Arabidopsis thaliana: one gene and its partner. The protein of the gene in region 2 interacts with the protein of the main gene of each other region in a pairwise test. Each region holds a gene or a part of one and is shown on either strand. Other genes may lie near its edges. The genes, in order: HSL1 and PTAC6.

Region 1 (12,397 bases), on a different chromosome or scaffold from region 2:
AGATCTGGAGGATTGACTACGAGGAGGACTCCGGCGTGTACGGTTGTTGGAGACCGTCTTCTTCTGCCTGTTGGGACATGCGCTAGGATTACGATGTTGTTTCATGTGAGAGAATGGATCTTTCAAGCAATCCTGGGGATTTAGAACAGCGACGCCCATAGCTAATTGAGAAAGGCAGATTTGGTGGTTCAGAAACAGAAGAAGAAGAAGAAATTTGTTAAATTATCTCTCAGAAAAAATTCTCAACGGCTCGGAAATGGAAAGATAAATTAGAAAGATGGAAATGAATATAATGAGAAGGTGGAAGAAGGATAGTTTTATACACGATTAAATTTGCTTCAGCGTGTCCAAGAACAGCTTAAGACGGTTTCTTAACCGACTCTCGGCTTCTGGTTTGTGAACTACACGCGCTTAGTTGTCTCTTCCTTTTTTGTTTTTTGTTTAGCTTTTTTTTTTTTTTTTTTTTCCTTTAACTTTATAATTACTTTCCTTGATATGTTAATCAATGGATCAATACTATGGTTGTGAATAAGATATATGTCACATAAATTCTGTATTCTTTTCTTTTTTATTCTCATCACATATGTGTGTTATCATTCAATAAGAAGCTTTACATTTTTCATTTCCTATACCATTTCAAAAAATTAAAAGTATTCAAATATGTGATATTCTGTGTGATGTATGATTACAATCTCCAAATTCAAAAGTTCAAAGGTAATTTGTCAAAATTAAAGGCCAGAGATTAAAATTTAAACCTAATATCTTACATCTATAAGTACAATTGAAAGCATTAAATTACTTTATAAAAAATAGAAAAAAAGCTATGCATATTTTAAAGCATTAGATAACTTTATAAACATATATAATTTGAAGAGGACATATGGCTGCTGATCCCAAAACTCTACTTCTTACACTGAGGACTATTTCAATATTTTGAATAAGAAATGGTATATCACCCCCTACACAAAAATGAAGTCACATCAAAGGTTATTGTGCAGATGTTTGTAATTGTTGACAAACAAAATGATTAACACTAAATAATTAAGCCAAGTTGTCAATAATAATACGAAATAATTGAATTAAAAAAAGCTACTTTGCCGAACAGTATCCAAGCAACAAAATCCTCCATTACGCATTTGTCGCTTTCATGATCACATACGTTAAACATTAAAATAATACCCCATTAGGCATAATATATCTCGCCCTTTGGCTTTGAGTAAGCTTTACATTATTCCCATACATTGTACATCCATAATAATATGATATTGAAACGCTAATTTTAAATTTGTATTTATGTATATAAATCCAATCTTTATATCTAATTAACGAGAGGTAAAAGACTATTAAACATTGAGAAACCCAAAGATCCTAACGATTATGTCGATAAACATATTGATACGACCTTGCAAATATGTAACAGGTTCGTATAAGTGTTTCTAATGACAAAAGGAAATAGATATTCTTAAGGTGGAGTAGAATATATGTGTTGGGAATAGGTAAATGACAACAACTTTTGAAAGAAGTGGTCGACCACAATAATAATAATAATTTATTTAAATTTAGGTGTAATAATAAATGTGAAAGAGGCGCGTGAGAAAGAAGTGGTTTATAGGGTGAGAGAGGAGGAACCCACGACGATCCTTACCAAAACCTCAGCTACGCGTTTATGGGTCCCACTCTCTGTCTCATCTTTTTCTTCGCCCTTCCATTATTAACATATTCCTTACAAACAAACCCTTCGTGTTCCTTTCTATTTACTCTATTGCCACCCCCACTCGTCTATCTTCTTTGACCACGGATATTTCTCAAGTTTGTTTCACTTGTTCATCTTCTTTGTATTTTTTTTTCTCGCCAACTAGTATTAAATTACTAATAATAAGAATCACTAAAGCTATTTGGTCAATTAAAAATAAATTGATGCTTTTGATGCCCTTTCTGTGTATTTTGGGCATAAACTAATTAAAATTATATTCATATATCTAGTGATTAGTGCAAAAAACGTAATACTAATATAAATATTGTAAAATTATGAATTTAAGGAGGGCATTTGTGTTATTTTTCAATAATATGTAGTGTATTCATAAATGAAACCAACAAAGAAAAATGGGACAAAAAAAAACGCCTAGTTATTGGTTTTGGGAAGAGGTAGGGGCATTAGGTAATAAATTTTCTTTATTGAGAAGAAATAAGGCAGAGTCCACGTGTTTGAGGACAAACTTATCAATCAGAAAAAGACACGTGTAATTTGACGATAGGAATGGCGTGATGCTGTATGAGATTGATTATTTTGGAGTCAGTCAATCGAGCCGACTCAATCAACTTTGGCCGGCCAAAAAAAACAATTTGGAAAAGTATTGTTGCTCTTATTTAATTATTTATTTCTTTTGGGGCTATTCCTGATATTTTATAACATGGGGGATTGGTGAGATTTGAGAAGAAAGAAACCCACAAAATAATCAGAATTCAGACACGAACAAACGAGTTGACCTCAGGTCTTAACTTCTTTGATACTGTATGTTATCATAACAGAGACATAGAAAGAAGCAAAAACAAGCAACAAACATGCTTCTTCATCTAAATTTATATCAATTTCTGACTCAAATTCTGAAACTAATACTGTATTATCGCTAATGTTTAGAACTCGAGACAAATTGGATATACCAAACGGTTTTTTATATTTTTAGGATTTGGATGAGTGATAGCTTATCATATGGCTCTATTTTTAGGAGTTTAGTTGAGTGATAAGTGATAACTCTTATTATTACACTGACACGATCAACACTTCTAACATCGACCGAGCTATAGCCGATTTATTTGCTTCCATGTAACTGATTGTGTGTCTTCATACCATAAGTTTATCACCAAATCAAAATAATAGGATCTCGCGTAACCAATTTCTCTAATTTAAGTAAATCATAAATTTCATAAACAAACTTGAAAATAATAAAAATTATGTACAGGTTCGAATTTTGAAACTTAAGATTGCGATAGATAGGCGTACAAATTTGAAGCTCCACCTCCAGAACCGATTCTCTTCTTAGAAGCTTCATCCATTTCCATATTAGATATAACTATTAAGTTAGTGTCCTATGTATTTTCAAAAACCTCATCAAATCTATTTGTCTCTCTCTCTCAAGCCTCAACTCACCACACACCAAACCAAAACACCAGAAACAAAAAGAAAAGCAAACTACAAATTCCTCATTTCTTCGATCGACAATTGGTAGAATGGTCGTAACCACTCAACCAATTTGAGACGAAACCGAAGACATTTTTTGTGTAAATAAGAAACACATACCACTGAAGAATAAATACTCATGGAGAATTCCAAAGCTGTTTAGTTCACAGGATCATGAGCTCCATTTGTTGTGTCTTTCTCAGTTTCTTGTGCGGCTGAGGACGAACCGTGTTCTGTGCTGACCATATCACTGCTTTGCTGTTCTCCTGCTGTATTGGAAATAGCCTTTTGTTTCAGATATGCTTCCAGAGGAAACGCTGCAGCTTGGAGAAGCCTCATCATGCTTACTCGGGAAGCCCCCGGGTCTGAGTTCAAGTCGATGTTTTCCCCTGCGGCTAGTTCAACCGCTGGAATGCTCTCCACTTCTGTCTCGTCCCTGCACTCTGACTGTGACTGCGCCTGCTGGCTTGCCTGTCCTGCCTCTCCTTTGTTCCGCTTCCGCAGCATGAGCGTCCTGAATCGTCTCTTCACTGCCTCGCACACAGTGCAAGTGCATGACGGCTTGTGTTTGCCTTTTCCGCTCGGTGGTTGGCTGCAGACGATGCACGAACACCCTGCCCGGTGTCTTGGATGCTTGGTCGTGGCTGCAACCGTGATTTCCCCCTGTTCACCGGTTGTGGTGATGCCTGCATTTCCTAAACTATTCAGAGCAGATGCATCCTGCGACTGGTTTAGCTTTTCGTTTGATGATGCCAGTCTCCTCCTTTTGAACTCTGTTGAGACGAAAGTTTCGTTATGTAAAGAAGGAAGTTTCTAATTATACAGACCAATAATAGCTGCGGATTTTACCTTTGCTCTGCCGGACAAGTGTATCCTGTTCTCTTGGAGAGAGTTCATCAGGTGCGGAACATGAAGACCTGACGATATAAACAGCAACTCAAATTATTCAGATGGCCAGTCTCAGTGAGTCAAAAATCTATAATTATCCCATATGTGTAGTCTAAGTTATTTCGGAAAAAAATGCGCAATGTTCTGTGGTAACTAGCCTAGGTTAAACACATGAACATGCAACCTCGTTTACCTGCCAGGATCCAAGAGATTATCAGAGCACGACCACTTTGGTGGAAGAAGAATATCCACCGGCAGCTGTCGCCATTTCCCACAAGCATCACACTGCACCCATTGCTCTTGTTCCCTGAGAATTCATGGATCACATATCAGAACCAAATAATCAGATGTTCATTACTTCAAATCTTTCGATCATTCCAAGGGTGCTTAATTCTTCTGATCCTATCATTACATAGTACATGAGGCCTCACCCTGTTTGACGTGAGACAAAAAGGGTCCTCTTCCCGAAAACTGGTGGTTCCTGGGTAGCAGCAAATACATGATTTCAGAAAATACAGTGAAAAGTTCCCAGCTGTTTTTGATAACTAAACAGTTAACAGTAACTCACGTCATATTCTTCAAAATCTTGATTTTCCAGCGTAAAGATGCTGGGTTTGGTGGATTGGGGAGGCCGCAACAGCTCCTGTGCCTCCTCCCAAGTTATTTTCAGTTCCAGAACATCTACGCTATCAATGAGCAGACGCTTGCTCTTAGTCCCAATGTTCCGAACCCGTTTCCTAGCAGAAGTTAAGGACGACTGAAGAAATAAGTTATCCTTTGCCATGTCCTCAGACTTCTCTAGTTTAGACCAATTGATGTCACCACATCCCGGATTCAAGCTGTTGGAAAACATGTTCAGATTGGGTTCACTGCTTCCCTTGAACATCTGAAGAAACACGGAAAAATATTTCACTGAAAGAATCAGTACGAGAGCACCAGAAAAGGATTCTTTAATTCAATACACTTCACAGTGGCAGTTACTTATGCCTAAGGGGGCAACTCTCAGCTTATTATGCATTTACCTGTGTCGCTGTAGAGTTCGTCGCTTTACGGTATCCCATTACGAGTTTTCCTTCAGGTTCTGTACGGCTGAATGTTACTGCAGAGAACATGGAAAATCCAAGACATCAGACCTAATAGAAAAGTACGGTCATCTCTTCGTGGAATGTATTTCACTGTCCTCATGATTGGAACGCTTTAGTGCCAATGTTTCATTTATCCATACCAGGGTGGGTTTATCAATATGTTATGAATGTAGTTAACGAAACAAAAGGATTTGAAAAGTACCAGTGTCACCAGCTTGCAACTGCATGGACTGTATGCAAGGAGTCACACCCTCCAAAACGTACATCCTGCTGTTATTATTAGGCCAAAACCTGAACTGGAACACCCATTCTTTCCCTTTTATGTCTTGTATCTTTAACGGGAGACCCTCGGGTAGAGATATAGGGGGGAAATATGCCTACATAGAAGCATAGACGGTTATAGCTGATACCTGGCATTTAGATAGCAATAGTTTGGGAATATCAAATAAGCGTACAGAGAAACAAGTTACCTCTGCACATGCTTTCGGAAGAACCAGTCGACCAATACGACCCGCATCGCTCGCACTCAGAACTTTTTCAAAGAGTGGTATAATTTTGGAATTTGAGCTAGGAAAATAAACAGTCAAGGACTCCTTAGCACAGAAAAATAGTGCATAATGGTAGAATAAAAGCAGAAACACGATATTATAACATACAGATGAGGATACTGTCCAGATAATTGCAGCAGCTCTTGGTCAGTAATCCTAGGCCAGTAACGGGGAAGCAATTGGGTCTTCCCGCGACCTTCTGGAGGAGGCCGAGCGACATGAATCTGTGACACCAGGCTCCCACTAGGCTCCATGCCAGCAGCAATGGGAGCTGAATTTGCAGGTTTTGGAAGCAGCTGCCTGGACCGAGGGGCCAGTTGGAAAATCGAATTAGTCTTACTTCTGTCATCAACAGCAGCATCATGAAATGGGCTTGTCATAAGCGTAGGTCCAAGTGAAATGCTCAAGTTTGGCTGTGCAGACAATTCTTTCCTTTCAGTTTTGTGTCTAAGAGCATCTAGGCTGGAAGGAAGCAGCGATTCTTCTTGTTTCATTTGAAGAGAAGAATGAGTGGGGTCGATTCTTTGAAAGTGAAGCAAGTGCTTGAGATTTGTCCTCTCAAGAACACTGCCTACATGCTCTGCTGAAGCAAATGAGGGGAAGTCCTTACCGTTAGATTCATGGCTCACATTCATCTGTAAGAGAGATTACATGAGTATAGTGACAGAGAAACCAAGACCAAGGAAGCATCCCTTGCAAGAAGTTAACTCATGGAGAGGAAATTGTCTTACAGAAATTAGTCCGGATTTCTTGGCGCAACTTATACAGGTAACACCACCATTCTCTAGAAGCTCCATCATAAATCTAGAAGCAATGCATCCACAGTGAAGACGCTGAAAAAAACGTAAATACGTATTAAGGAAAACAATTGAAATACGTTGAGTGCAAAAACATGTGTAGTAAGCCATGGATTTTCGTCACCTTGTCACATGAATTACACTCTCTCCAACCAGATTCCTTGGCATGGAACACTTCACAGAATATGGATTGCTCGTATGCACACCTATCAAAAACCAACATTCACAGAGTTTACTAATAAGTAATCATGAAATATAGATTCCCTTCACGTACCCACTCTTGTTCTAATTGTAAGCAAACCCACAGCACTAATCTATCGCAGAAGTGTTGCGAATATCGAACTGGTCGCAAAAGTATTCAAATTAGACACAAGAGTGAAGGCCCTTACCCACACTTATCGCAGAGAGAAGCTAAATCACCGGATCGCATAGGCCAGCCTTTTTTCCACTCGCCCGACGTAGAGGCCGCTCCGCACAGTGCGTTCATGCAAACCTTTATTGACTCCATAATTGACCAATTGAGCGGCTCGATTCAACTGTCAATAACTTCAAATGAAGCAAGAGCCTTATCGTATTCTCCGCACGATGGTGCTTTAATCCACCGCAACTTTCCTCTTTAATAAAGGCACAAGCATTAAAAATATGCAATGATTAAGAAAACTAATTGGTATCAGAAAAGTTAAACACTTACCAGAAAAGGCAGAAGAAGATGTCAAATATATTGTCGAGAAACTCAATACGCTCCTTCTGTGAAAGACTATATACAAATAAAAACATATAAGATGACGATATATAGAAGAAGATACCAACTGTTATAAAGTAATCAAAATCCGTAAATGAATGAATAGTTAAGGACATTTGATATTGACATCTAAAGATAAGATATCATTGCATCCTAAGGAAAAAAAAACGAAATTAAAGTTCACAAGAGACAAAGAAAATCAACAGACCTTTCGAAGAAACTTGTCCAAAAAAGAGAAACCACGAGTCACTTCCATCTCCTCAGTTTTCAACCAAACCAATTCTAAGCTTAGACATGTCCACACGAAACTTCTCAGTGGTGCAGTGGAGATGGAGCCTCTTAAATAATTGTGCCACTGTGATAAAAACGCACCATCGAAAAGTTGACTGATGAATGTATGGAAGTCCAAGAAGTCTACAATAGTGATAATGAGAATAATATCTTGACTGTGAAAAAGGATGAATTGATTCTGTAGACAAAACTAAGTGCAAACCTTAAATAGTCAAATTATTCAATTGAACGGAAATGATCCATCACCTATCTGAGCTACAGTAGGCTAACAACGATTCCACTACCTAGGCACAATTTCAAGGAAGATATAATTCTTATTAAACCGCTAAATAATCCAAAAACTTGCGAGTCAGCAAGATCTAATCTGAGGATACACATAACTTTTAATGCTATTGAAAGAAGAATATAGACTTGAAGAAAAAAATGTAATAAGCAGCTACATTAAGTAAACAAGTAAACTAAATGTAATACCTTAACAGAGATGACAGAAATGTATGCAGGTTTGTCTCCAGTAACAGGAGAAGATATTTGGCTGCAATTGGAAAATACAAAAATTAGGTGAATAACATGACATATTTGGCTGCAATTGGAAATTCATAAAGAACCAAGGACGACACTTTCTTAAGAAGCAATAAAATGATATATAAATCGAACTAGTTTCATTCTTCTTCAAATCTTTCAACTTTGGTTGACCCAAAAAACCACTGATTTCCAAGTAAAGCTTATAACTTTGTAAAAACACTGATGTAAAGGTTCAATTTTTACAATCCTAATTCCGAAATCTACGGTCTTTGAACAAAAAAAAACATGCATAAATCACCAAGTTTCTGAACACTAATGGCCGAGCAAGTAAATTTATCAGAGCATAATCACCGGAGAGGGTTAACCCTTACCTTGGTTTGTGTGGAGAGAGAGCCGATTGATTCGATCGGAAGAGAAGGGATAGTTTTCGACGGAGAAGTGAAGTTAAAAACCAAGTCAAAGTCGTCTTTACGTCGACCAAGTGAAGAAGATTTGAGCCAATTCAATTGCAGCAACAAGAGGTAGTGGCAAAGAGATTTAGAAATAACGAAGGAGTTGATGAATTGGTTTCTAAATAAAGAAGAAGAAGCCACAATGACTTAGAGCGAAAATCTCCATTACCAACAACAACAAAGGGCTCGTGGAGAAGACAACAAATCTGGAGCGTTAGATTACAAAAAAAAAAAAAATGAAACACAAAGAAACTGCTGACGTCAGCCTGACCTAAAACCCAGTATGCTTTATTTATTTATTATGGATGAGAGAATAATGTAAAGTTTACTCAAAGTGTGACATTTTATGTAATAAGATATTAATTAAAGTGCACGCAAAAGGTCATCTCTGTTTCGACCTCACCTAAGGTTTGCTTCTAGATTTATATACGTCTAAATTAGTATTTTGATTTCGATAATAATATTATTTAGTAAAGCATTGAATTTGAGAATGATGAAGTGGCTTGGTTTCTAGGGTTATAAGACAGGAACCCACGACGACCATCACCAACACATCAGCAGATCAGCTACTAGGTCCAACTCCAACTCTTTATTTTTGTTGGTTCAACAATTTACTGCAAAAGACTTAAAAAAATGTAGCCCAAATAATCATGTCAGGATAATGGACCGAAGATTGGTTGATGGGCCGTTTTAGATCAAAAAAATCATTCCACCTTTGGAAAAGATCTCTTTAGCATATTACTTTAAGGTTTGTTGCAAATGAAAAATAGTTGGAAAATATTTTAGACCCTTAAAAGTCTTATCCGATAGGTAAAGTATTTAAATCAGTTCATGGGTTGAGTTTCATAATTGAAACTAGGCATAGATTGGCCCTTTCCTTTCTCTTTAATAAATACTCGATTCATCCCTTTCTACTGTCTGTCTCAATATCTGTACATACCATTCATTGTAGCAATCACTATACGTACATGTTAATGTCTATGAAGTATGAACAATAATAAGAATTGGGTAAGAGAGTTATATATGTTGTTGATAAACAACAGTGAATTCAAAACTATATAATTTAGAGAGGGTTTGTATATCCCTTTTTTTCCTCTGTATGAGTAATGTGAGAACCAATTATTCGTTTATAGATGAATAATAAATTATCTTTCTGTTTATCGTACCGAGTTACCTACCATATTGCTTAGACTGGAAATGCTTTGTTGGTAAAAAGACATGATTGGTTGAAAAATAGATAAAAGCATGAATGGGATTCAAAAACTAACGATAATTAGGAAACTGGATTACCATGGTTGGTAGGCTAAACCCTAGCTATTCTAATCGCTATTACATTCTCACCTACTTTGCATAGTCATTAAATTTGCATATCCACGAATTCGTACTAATAGTTTCGCAGAAAATACACATGCAATCTTATGAATATTGCTTGATTTATTTAAGAAACAAACTTGTATGCAATTATTGGTATATAAATCAGTTATAACCGAGCCATTTGTCAATATGACTTTGACACATGGGTAAGTCTAAACAACTAATTCATACTCTAGTTATCAATTGTCTCTTGTAAATAATTTAGTACGTATTTTTTTAGTTAGTCTTATAGATGAGTAAATCACCCTTTTTAAAATTATTAGATTTTCGGTTAAATGTTTTGGATTCTAAACTCAAAATTAATTAGCAATATGTGATGAAAACCCTTGTAGTTATGTAATTGCATGAAACAAAAATGATTTCAAATGTTATTCATATGTACTAGATCTTCAAACATTAACACATGAACTAACATTTTGGAATTACATCGATATTCATTTAATTGGATCCAAAAGGTTTCAACTTCTCGTTCTGTTATTAGTTTTTGTTTCCTCTTTTTTGTTTTCTATTTATTTTCACATGTTCTAGCTTCTTAATTCTAAGCTAACTTGAGTAGCCTAATAAACTTGTGTCACATGATGAGGACATTTCTCAAATGGAACATTCAGACATTTACACTCCCATACGTTGATATCATGTTATTTGCTATATTAGTCTAATATTGTTGCCTTTCAGATTTCACATATGAAATATTCCTTGTTGTAACCAAGAACCATCTCTGTGTATTTTTACAAGCATAAAATAGTAGTTGACAATATAAAAATAACTATCTGATGATGCAACTCTAGTTAATATATCACGAATCACTGACTCCTATATAATGTGTAGATATACTGTATATGTATCGACACCAATTTTACATACATTACCGAAGTATTGATTGGTTCTTTCATTTGATAAAAGAGAGCATATAATTTCACTTTAATCACACTCATTATACATTTGCGAAAGTCTTTCATTCACAACCGTCGTTGCGTTTAGTTTGCTAATACTTTATGTTAGTGCCCGTTGAGTTTCTAAAAGTGTAGAAGTTTTTGTTGTTTATTTATATAGACTCTAGTTGCAAATGCTGCATAGAATTAGTTAGATCCATTCTCGTGAATCCTTAAGAGGATTATATGCTAGAATAAAAATATACTACTAAGAAGATATTTTATTGATAACATAATTGACCAAAGAGAAAAAACAAAACGGAAAGTCTTCTTATTTCTGTCGGTTTGACACAACTGGTCAACTTTTGCTGTCAGTAAAGTAAACTCTTCAAGTTACAAAGGCATATTTTAACTTGACCACTCTAAATTTTATTCTTCAGAAGTTTTAGTAGTGGCCCAAGTTACAAATTCGTGTTTTGAATAAATTGTTCTAATTTAAAATATAAGAAATTCATACATTGATCACTTTAAACTGTTTTTGGTTAGGAAGAATTTAATAATTTGTGTTCACTATCACATTCAAACCCTCTCACATGTTGATTTGATGATAAAGAAGTTAGAGAGAATGATTTCGACTTTTTTAAAACCCACTTTCTGCTTCCCTCCTTTATGCAGACAAGAAAAAAGGAAACAAAATTTTATGAAAGAGATCTCCATTAGAGAAAGAGAGAGCGAGAGAGAGATTAATCTTGGAAGAGCAATCTCACATTCTCACACTGCTCTTAGAAAATCTCTCTTTCACCATTAAAAATCCCAAAGAGTCTGGAGAAATGGGAAAGATTCTTCATCTTCTTCTTCTTCTTCTTAAGGTCTCTGTTCTTGAATTCATCATTAGTGTTTCTGCTTTTACTTCACCTGCTTCACAGCCTTCTCTTTCTCCTGTTTACACTTCCATGGCTTCCTTTTCTCCAGGTATCTCTCTCTTCCTCTATCCATGCTTATGTTTTTTTTTGTGGATTGATCTGTGTTTTAGTAAACCAATGAAAATCTGACTTTTAATTATATACGTAATTGCTATTTTTGAGCTGCTGAATGAGTGAATTGCTATCTTCTACGTATCTCTTTATCAGTTATTCTGAAAATTCCTTCTCATCTAGATCCCTTTGGGATAATTCAGAAATTAGATACAGTGAGAAGATTAGCTCAAGCGTTTGATTTCTGATTTCAGGGATCCACATGGGCAAAGGCCAAGAACACAAGTTAGATGCACACAAGAAACTTCTAATCGCTCTCATAATCACCTCATCTTCTCTAGGACTAATACTTGTATCTTGTTTATGCTTTTGGGTTTATTGGTCTAAGAAATCTCCCAAAAACACCAAGAACTCAGGTAATAATCATCTTAACATTAAGAATGAGAACAAATCTGCAAAACTTTACATTTGTAACAAGATTCTGTATCAGTTTCTTCATTGTGATCTCTCTGTTTTGATATCTAAATGGTTTCATGCGGAAGAAGGTGAGAGTAGGATTTCATTATCCAAGAAGGGCTTTGTGCAGTCCTTCGATTACAAGACACTAGAGAAAGCAACAGGCGGTTTCAAAGACGGTAATCTTATAGGACGAGGCGGGTTCGGAGATGTTTACA
Region 2 (9,882 bases):
TTCCAGGCGTAGGCAAGGAATTCATATCACGAACCGAGCAATTCCCAAGGCATGCATACACTAAAGACCGCCGAAGACTCTGACCATTGGAATGATCTTCCTCTGCCTCTTCCTCTTCCACCTCAGAATGGTTTACTACTTTGGTATTCTTTCTCAATGTGACAGGCATCTGAAAGAAACTAGACAAAGTGTTCCTACGAGCATCACTTTTACCTATTACAAACCAATGCCCAAGAAAGAAGAAGAGTTCAAAACCCTAATACAGACACAGAAATCATCACATACAAAAGAAACTTATAGAGAAAGGCCAAACCTTTAGAGTGATGAATGATCGATGAGGAACCATCTTTCTGAAACATGACTTTTCCATTGTCAACAGCCAGAACCCAGCAATCTTTTGCTACTTTCCTAGCTAAGTACTTAGCCACGGAGACAGATGAATGAATTGTATGGAAACGTCTGGAGATCCCAACTACAACTTTGGACGCAGAACACATTTTTGCTTCTTTAACTAGAATCTTTCGAGTAGAAGAACCCCGGGATAATTTTAGCTTCAATTCCAACTATTAAAAGCAATTCAACCATCATCAGCTAGAGCAGAGAGAATAGAGCATGAAAGTTTTCCACTTTAATAAGCATACCTGTTTCAATTTGCAGAAACCTTCATAAACTTCAAGAACAGAATCAAAGTTTTTAACAATGGAGACGAGAGAAGAGTTGTCTGCTCGGTCAACGATCTCTACACAAATCCAATAAGAGAGAGTAAACATGGAAACCCATTTCCAAAAATCGTAGCTTTAATACAGAGAAACAAAAAAGTGTTACCATTGCCGAGTACATGAAGAGCGATTACAGTATCACCCGGTTCAGCAACCTTAACCAAAGCCCAATCAAGTAGCTCATTGCTCGACTCATCGAACTTTACGCCCACCATAACAGTATGGCCTCCTCCTGTAACGACGCCGTTTTCCGTCATCTCTCTCTCTATCACTCTCTTATCTTATCACTTCCCAGTTTCCTCAAACTGTTTTGTCTGAATTTCAGGTGAATACGTTGTAGTGTGATGATTCCACGAGGCACAAAATCATCGCAACGCTCACAAAAGTGAATCTCTATTCTCTCTCACTCTCTGGTTTTGCAGCTTCTGAGAAAGAGAGAAGAGTAAGAATGGAGGAGCAGACATATGAGAATTTTCATTTCGTTGCCATTTAGATAAATAAAATACATAATTTAATATTTAGTCTTCACAGTACACTCTCTCATTAATTATCAACCTAACAAATAACAAATTATAAAAAATATATATAGATATATCTTTTCTTTTTTTTGCTCATTTTAATTAATTTAAAAATATTTCAGATACATTCATGAAATTAACTTTATTTATTCCCTATTGTAGATTATTTTATACAAAAAAAAAATATATGCAACACAAACATTTTCTTTTATCTGAATTTATGTTACATAATTAACTTAAGAGATTGGTACCATACCAAACAGTAGAAGAAGAAATCTACGTATTAAATACGGGGAATATGGTCCACCGTTATCGATTAATAGAATGTTGTGCCATGTATAAAAGTACCATAAATGAGGTTCCGGCAATGAGATAACAAATTATCATAATTATGTGATTTTATTCCTTTGTTTTTATATGAATCATTCCTTGTCCATTGTGTATGTATTTTAATAGGTAGATTGACAAATCAAAGATGCTTATTAGAAATGTAGCCCACCAAAACCATACTTACTTACAAATTCAACGGTTGATGCACATACCTTATCGTTATTTTTATTCCATTTGACTATTCTTTCTCACGTCAATCTTCTTTATTTTATCGTGCAATTCATTTTATCGTGCACATGTTTTTGTTTCTTCGACTCAATTGAATTGTTTTAAGATTTGATCATTTCCTTCTCTACCTTGTTGGTTTGGCATATGTCAAATCGATCGTTCTGACCATTCTATCGCAATTTTCATTCCATAATATTGAACACAATCGTGTTTTACAACTATTCTTAATTTCTTATATACCTAACGAATTCCATATCACCGAACTGTTGGTGCATTTATTTTGTTTTACGTGTCATTCTAAGTGATTCATGTAATTTTTCAAGTGTGGCAATAAATAAAGATATTTGTATTAAAAAACTGAATAGGGAAGTTAATGTTCGGTGGTCACAGAATGGGCCAATGGAACCAACCACACAACATGACTGCTCTGTCGGCGACTTTGACATTTGTAATCCCACTCACGTGAAAATCCAATCGACCGAACATGATACCGTACACGTGTCTTTTCCTGATGTCATCATTAATTACATCAAAAAGTTTAGAATAACAGACTACCTGTCGTTTTTAGTAGCTTCGTATAACTAAAACGACACGCCGGCTACAAGTTCTAACTAGTCCACTCAACAACAGTCAACACCATCCCAATTTCTCAAATACAAACACTTTGTTCCAATCTTGAATATGAAAATATCTCATCACAAGAATAATACAAGCCATCATAATCATCAATTGAAAACTTGAATTAAACACCTCAAAACTTGCAAATAAGCTAGCTTCTCTAGTCATTGAATGTTAGTCCATCAAACTATTGCATCTACACACTTTTTTCTAGAGGCCCATATTCATCTAATAACACATCCATCTCTGCTGCTAGTGCAGTACCTGAGGTCACCAAAATTGTATACCCTCCACCATATCATCGATTTAGATCATCTGCTCTCGTTTTCCATCTCAGGAAGAAAGTTATGCTGACTTGTCGTTTGGTGTCTCTCGAGTTCTTCTAGAACCAATTTGAGACACTGAAGTCTCGTAGCTTCCTGAGATGTTTCTCCATGTCTTCTCTAGTCTTGGTCCACTCTTCTCTTTCTATTACCGTTGTTGGGTCATCTCTTTCACCCTGAAAGAATGGAAATATATAGACATAGAGTGAAGATGAGTAAAGCTAGATGAAGGAATACAAATGACTGCCAGATGAAATGGATTTGGTCATTTGGAAATGGAAAGGTACCACGTGTATGATCTTAAAGGAGGTTCCATTATCTCGTATCACAAGCAAGTCATCCTTCCTATCCCTTTTTCTTCCTCCCGGAACTGTCACCTGAAACAATCTAAAACCTTAACATCGGAAAGAAGATTGTCTTCATAGCTTTGAGCTATGCACAGTATTTAAAGAACTCATAACTCAAGATATCTGATTCAGAACTAGAGGCATAAATAGCACTAATATAAACCAGCATTTCATTAGTGTTATAGCATGAAAAATATTCTATAAGAATATGTCAAAAAACCCAATTGGCTATGGTCTACGGTTGAGGTTTGTGCTCAGACTCGGAATGAGAACTTTGTTAATAATGCTTAAATAACTTGGAAGATAAGAATTAGTCATACCAGAACTCTGGCTCTGGTGATTGACTTTGTCTTGGAATCAATAACATATATCTCTTCAAGATCTAGCACAAATTCTGGATCGTTTGTCCTTCTGTTCCGGTAATGTTTTGTCAAGAAAACCTGCATAAAAAATAAACACGATGAAGACAATTTGTATCAGAAACTGTAACTACTAAACTAAGTAGTTTCGTGTTGATCTCATCCTTAATGCTTAAAAAACATATTTCCTGGTGTGGTTTCCAAAAATGTTGTCAAATCAAAACTAAGTACATCCTTGTTAATACATGTTGCTCAAGACTCCCTGCATCAAAGACCTAATGGATTTAACATCAATGTACATGGTCCAATATGTACCTTGGATATCTCCCTCTCAGATTTGTACAGTGGATCTCTGGGGGCATCAATAGGTGGTTCAGTGACATTGTAACATCCATAGTCACTCATTGCACATCGAATATACTGTACTTGTAACATCATTAAACAAGCCCTTGTTAGCACCACTCACTCATTGTAACAACTTGCTTATAAATAAACCTTACAATGTAAAACATACGCAATCATGAAGCAGCAAAGAGTACAAAACTGGCCACAGAATGAAAGGAAAGTGACTAAACAAACACCCAGCTGCTACATTCTGACTCTCTAATCATACTAAATGCTGACCATTTACGGCACTTTTTGAGATTATATGTTCAAAATTCCAGTCTATCAGTGTGAGTAGAAGTTCCAAACAATACCAAACGTGTACAGCTCTGTGTAGATAAGATTTCTTAAGTTATACAATTACTAGGTAGAGTGAAGGTATATGGGTTATACAATTACTAGGTAGAGCTCTGTGCAGATAAGATTTCTTAAGTGATACAATTACTAGGTAGAGTGGAGGTATATGGGTTCAATTAGCAATTAAGCACAATATGAAAAGCAATTATCTTGCTGAACAAAAGGAAGTCTCAGAACAACGCATAGGCATTACAAAAACAGCAACCGATAAGGATAAATGACTGACCTTTTGAGGCATCGGTGCAAGAACTCTCGGAATTGAGTAAATATCTGTATCCGGAGGAGTAACATACATCTGCAGCCACCCACACAAAACAATTTACAATTGAAGAATGAGCACAGACTCTAGAGAAATCGAAGAAATGAGCAATTAGAGTCACTGGGAATTCACACACCTCTCTGAAATCATAAACATCATTATCTGGATCAGGAGGTTTTCTGATAAAGAAATCACAGTCCATTAAGCTGAGTTTATGAAACTCATCTTCGTTTATCCGATAATCAACCACCATATCCGAATCCCATCCTTGTGTCGATATAAAACTCTTACTCTGAACAAAAGCGATATCTCCATCACCACCACCGCCTGCAGCGGCTATCGCGGCGGCCAAGGGGTCATACTCGACATCATAGTCCTTCTTGTTGTCAACTTCCTCTACCTCCTCATCATCCATATCATACTCGTCCGCTCCACCTCCATCAGCATCGACGTCATCTACTTTAACGACTATACCACGGCCGCGTCGGGATTTCAGTGTTAAAGGCGCGAAAAGACCGTCCGTTCTGAATGACGCAAATAGCCGCTGAGAGCCGGAGGGATAAGGTGGCTTCGAGGTGAATGAGAGTAGAGATAAGGAAGGAGAAGCGGCGGAAGACGCCATTGGAAGCGGATAAAGCTCACAGAGTGTTCTATCTATCTGTGGATTAGATATTTCGAGGAAAAATACAATTAAAAAAAAAAGAAAAACTATATAATATAATAATAATCCTTTTTAGTGAATAAAACAACAAAAATAAATTAGGAAATAATTAAGAGCGTCATTTTTGGTATCCCGCGCAACTTTTTCTTCTCAGTTTCAGTTTCTCTACATCGATTCATCGATTCCACTCTCTTGATTGCTGTTTAGATCAATCCGTCTCGAACCCAGGGGTTAGTATATAGTGGATCAAACTGATCCGACCCGACCCGACCCGAATTATTAATGTCGGAAGTTAATGAGATGAGTGGTGGTTCTATTGGCGGCGAATTGTTGAGAGCGTCGCCGAAGGTTTTAACGGCCGGTGATCGGAAATTACTCAAGGTGGAGCTTCGGCCAGGGGATACGACGTATGTTTCGTGGAAGAAGCTTATGAGGGATGCTGGTAAGGTCAATGGTTTATCGGCTTCGGTTCCCGACCCGCCTCCTAATGCTAACCCTAACCTTGAGTTTCGAATTGCACCGGTGAGTTTGATGTTGTAGGAATTGGTAATCGGATATATATACTTGTAGGCATTTGTGGGTTTCGTTTGCTGTTATTGGAGTAAGCATTTGTCTTGTTTCGGGGAGTTGTAATCTTTGTTAGGGTTTATAAAGGAGCTTTACTAAATTCGCAGATTTTCAGATTTATTTGTTGGGGAAAATGCTTGAAATCGATATGGTATAGGAGGAATTCTGTTGTTATTGCTCTCTGACGTCTGTGACTAGAGTTCAATAAGCAAACTCCTTAAACGGAGAAAGTCTACAACCTGATATATGATCTTTGGCTTCATTTCTAATTGCTAGCTACATTAGGCTAACTTCATCGTTATCAATGTGAATATGCCATCAATTATACTTGATCTGGAAAGGAATTTGGTTCACATAGTTGCAATGGAAACTATAGCTGTAATAGTGAAGAATATAGAGAAAGTTTTATTAATATCTATTAGTGCAAGAGAATGAAGCATATAATAGTGGATCTTCATTTAAGATGGTATAATATGCTTGCAGCTTCCTCACAATATATTCTTCTTATGCATACAATATGGGTGGTTAAAATCATTTTCAACAGCTGTATTTTCGTATATAATGTAGGGGCATCCAGTAGAGATTGAAACGAATGAACAACCTCATTCTAACCGTTTCAACGCTGTTATTGAGAAGATAGAGAGGCTCTATAAGGTATGCTACTCTTTGTTAAAACACTTTTCTTGGTAGGTTGTTATATGTTTGATTTTTCACATTCACAACATTTTTGCATACCATGCAATAGCACTGTTGCATTCACACATCTCTGAAAAGTGTATGCTTACTTCAGAGAATAAATCTCAGGGGAACGATAGCAGTGATGGGGAAGAGTTAGACGGTGCTCCTGATGATGATGAGTATGACACTGAAGATTCATTTATAGATGATGCTGAACTGGTTGGTGTTGATATCTTTCAAATATTTTTGATAGCTGAGAAATCATATCTCTGTTTTACTCTACTCCTTGCAGGATGAGTATTTCGAAGTTGATAATTCAACAGTTAAACATGATGGATTTTATGTAAATAGAGGCAAGTTGGAGCGGATGTGAGTTATCTTCCTCTTTTCATTATCTGATGTCTCTTAACTCTTTGGTGGCTTTGTCACTTTTCAATCACTCAGATCATGTTTAGAATAGGCATGTCGTAAGTTTTTGAAATAAACATATGAAATCACCTTGCTTTTCAGTTTTTCTTCCTATTTGGATATGTGTAGTCTCTCCAAATGGTAAAATATGGTTGGCAGTCTTGCTACTACTGCCTTAACTAATGTCTGTAGGGTGTTTGGTATGGGTAAAGTCCATTTTTCAACTTTTCTGGTTAAAAAACGTTCATATAGATGTAGGTTTTGCACTTTCGATAGGATAGAGTTTTTCTCATTTTGCCTAATCATGCTATATTTCATTTACAAGTTATCTAATCCCTGATTCATTTTCACAATAGGGAACCTTCAACAACATCTAACCAGCAACCCAAAAAACGGCGACGAAAAGATTCAGCAAAACCCTGTCGTGATGCAGTTGACGTATCCGATAAACACACCAAGTTGTCTATAACAGCTAGGAAAAAGGTAACATCTTTTATTGCAAATCATACTAATTTATGTCGGAGTTTGAGTCTGATAACTGATTATACGAATGGGGAAGTCCAGGATCAATCAACTGCTCCTGGGTCCTGGAAAACACAGGAGTCACCTTTGCCTTCTGGAGCGCAAGATGCAAATACTTCAGTACCTCTGGATGATGTGAAGCATTCTGATAGAGCAAATCATCAGTCTAGGAATGATACAAGTCACAAGTCAAGGGAAACTGGATCCTCTAGTGCCCTTCATCAGAAATACAGCAACAAAAGCTTACACCAACAATCTACGTCCCTGCTAGGAAAATCTCCCCCCAATGTCTTTGCAGAGGTAACAGTAGTCCGTCAGAAAGAAAACAATGGTATGCATCAGCTGGCAAATGTAACGGGAAGCAGACAATCTAGTCAAGCGTCTGTAAGTACATTCCAACTGTGTCTACAATTACATAAAATACACTCAGTAAGTTGGTTGCATTCTAAGGTCGTAGTTTTGTTTCTCCAGTTTTCATCTCGGTTCTGTGATATTTTTCTGGTCAATCTTTGCTTCCATGCATTTTTCTTACCACAAAGTTTACATCAGTCTTGCTTTATAATTCTGCAATAACCTGTCTCTACTCAGAAAAAAGATGGTTCTAATGTGAAGTCTAAAACCTCAATCCTCGAGAAAGCCATAAGGGAACTGGAGAAGGTGGTTGTGGAATGTGAGTTTTAATATTTTTCAAGTGTGACCAACTAGAATAGCATTTGGTGATTTTCAACTTACAAGAATTTATGATTTATAAGCAGCAAGGCCTCCTGCTATCACTGAAAATCAAGAAGCTGATACCTCATCCCAGGCAGTGAAGAGAAGATTGCCCAGGGATGTTAAATTGAAACTTGCTAAAGTTGCTAGGATTGCGGTACTAGAGCTTTTCCATTTGTTCTTCTCATTTTTTTGAAACTTGAAACGGTATGAGAAAAAACTAATATGCCTTTTGTGGCAGCAGGCAAGCCAGGGAAAACATTCAACAGAGTTAATCAACCGTCTTATGAGCATTGTTGGTCACCTAATCCAGCTTAGGTCTCTTAAGGTAAAATTTTCTGTCTCCTGTATCCTAGTCTTTCTGTTACTAAAGCAGACTTGTTAGGACTTTCGTCAAGGTGTTTAAATAGTTAGTCTTCTTCAGGACATTCATGTTCCAGTGAAAAACTCTTCTGTTTCAGGTACAAGCAAACAAAATATGGTTTCTTACTCTTTGTAATGCTTATTTTGCAGAGGAACTTGAAAATCATGATTGATATGGGAGATTCTGCAACCCGAGAAAAGGATACTAGGTTCAAGCAAATCAACAATGAAGTTCTTGATATGATAAAGGCCAAAGTTTCTTTGATGGAATCACAGGTTCTCTCTCTCTCTCTCTGTTCTAATCTTAAGTTGCTTGATAGGCATTTCTTTCATCCATGGCTTTTCTATCTTATTACATTCTTGGAAGTGTCATTAACTTTTATGAAATCTGGAGTTCTCTCTGATAATGGTTTTCCGTAGATCAAGCTCTTCATTCTTTTGTTTTCGATGTTCCCTGTGGGTCAATCTGCCTTTGTAGCGTATTTTCCTCCTATTAATATGTTGAGGCACCTGTGACATTTATGATATTTCTTGCACTATCATTTTATGTTCCATAGGCAATCAAACCAGAAGGTGCAACATCAGACGATTTTCAGGACTCAGTAGAAAAGCCATCTTTGAAGAAGTTTGTCATGGATGCGGCATTGGAGGATAAATTGTGTGACCTATATGACATATTTATCGACGTAATTATCATTTACCTTTATAATCTGCCATGCCAATTCTAGACATAGAATTAGAGTCAAAACGGTTTTGTTCCTGTTTTTTGGTATATTAGGGATTGGATGAAGATCAAGGTCCACAAACAAAAAAGCTATATGTCAATGTAAGCCCTTCTCCATTCCCGATTATTTTTGGTATTCTGGTTTTTTTTGTTCCAAGCTTATCTCATGTCTTAAATCACCAATTAGACCTAGCCAAAAGCTCAAGGTGGTTTGTTAGAGCTTGATGAATATTGTTTTGGAATTATTCATGCTCCAGTTGGCTGAACTCTGGCCAAATAGATTGATGGATTATCGTGGGATCAAACATGCAATTTTCCGGGCAAAGGAGAGACGAAAAGCATTGTATGGAAACCTTGCGAAAGAGATGGTAGTTAAAGAATTTTCTCAGCCCTTTACCTCTTTGCATTAAAATTTTCGCAATTTGCTTTGCTTGATTAGATTCTGCTTTGTTAAAGGATCAAACAAAGATGAAGAAGAGTATGAAGCAGTTGGTACCAAGAACAGACTGTACTGCTCAGCCCAACACCGAATTAGTGGTTCAGAGACAACACAGTGGGGAAAAAAAATTGATTGTTGATCCAAATGCAACCAGCACTTCCGTGGTCACTAGTCAAACTATGGTTGACAGATCAAATCAGCAGCAGCCTGAGAAGCTAAAGGGAATCTCAAGCTCTTGCAATCCTACAGAGGAAACAAGAGTGGTCAAGAGAAAGAACGAGGCTGTAATGGCTGAGAAACAAGTCGTTCTTGCCCTGAAGAAGCCCGAACATCCACAGACACGTGTAATCCCAGCTCCTCAGAATCT

The links.
Region 1: the proteins of PTAC6 (region 2) and HSL1 interact in binary tests that used the Arabidopsis thaliana proteins (3 or more experiments, as listed by UniProt).

What each region holds. Positions count from the first base shown.
Region 1 is NC_003075.7:15,475,838-15,488,234, reverse strand, and holds HSL1 (HSI2-like 1), read right to left. Parts: upstream 8,857-12,397; 5' UTR 8,423-8,856; intron 8,062-8,422; 5' UTR 8,001-8,061; intron 7,741-8,000; exon of another isoform or gene 7,594-7,740; 5' UTR 7,447-7,593; intron 7,254-7,446; 5' UTR 7,188-7,253; intron 7,111-7,187; 5' UTR 7,005-7,110; coding exon 6,886-7,004; intron 6,703-6,885; coding exon 6,621-6,702; intron 6,533-6,620; coding exon 6,431-6,532; intron 6,335-6,430; coding exon 5,808-6,334; intron 5,719-5,807; coding exon 5,622-5,718; intron 5,529-5,621; coding exon 5,354-5,528; intron 5,166-5,353; coding exon 5,089-5,165; intron 4,953-5,088; coding exon 4,635-4,952; intron 4,548-4,634; coding exon 4,498-4,547; intron 4,374-4,497; coding exon 4,260-4,373; intron 4,096-4,259; coding exon 4,028-4,095; intron 3,952-4,027; coding exon 3,338-3,951; 3' UTR 2,881-3,337; downstream 1-2,880. Other genes in the region: AT4G32020 (serine/arginine repetitive matrix-like protein), read right to left, coding at 1-159; AT4G32000 (Protein kinase superfamily protein), read left to right, coding at 11,580-11,721, 11,978-12,397. UniProt on the Arabidopsis thaliana protein: Transcriptional repressor of gene expression involved in embryonic pathways, such as LEC1, ABI3, and FUS3. Repressor of the sugar-inducible genes involved in the seed maturation program in seedlings.
Region 2 is NC_003070.9:7,568,719-7,578,600, forward strand, and holds PTAC6 (plastid transcriptionally active 6), read right to left. Parts: upstream 5,129-9,882; 5' UTR 5,065-5,128; coding exon 4,579-5,064; intron 4,479-4,578; coding exon 4,410-4,478; intron 3,863-4,409; coding exon 3,758-3,862; intron 3,524-3,757; coding exon 3,404-3,523; intron 3,114-3,403; coding exon 3,024-3,113; intron 2,913-3,023; coding exon 2,796-2,912; 3' UTR 2,678-2,795; exon of another isoform or gene 2,304-2,677; 3' UTR 2,127-2,303; downstream 1-2,126. Other genes in the region: AT1G21590 (kinase with adenine nucleotide alpha hydrolases-like domain-containing protein), read right to left, coding at 1-213, 314-563, 642-739, 826-976; AT1G21610 (wound-responsive family protein), read left to right, coding at 5,386-5,625, 6,238-6,324, 6,475-6,567, 6,641-6,717, 7,113-7,239, 7,321-7,662, 7,867-7,948, 8,034-8,146 and 6 more. UniProt on the Arabidopsis thaliana protein: Essential protein involved in plastid gene expression and in chloroplast biogenesis.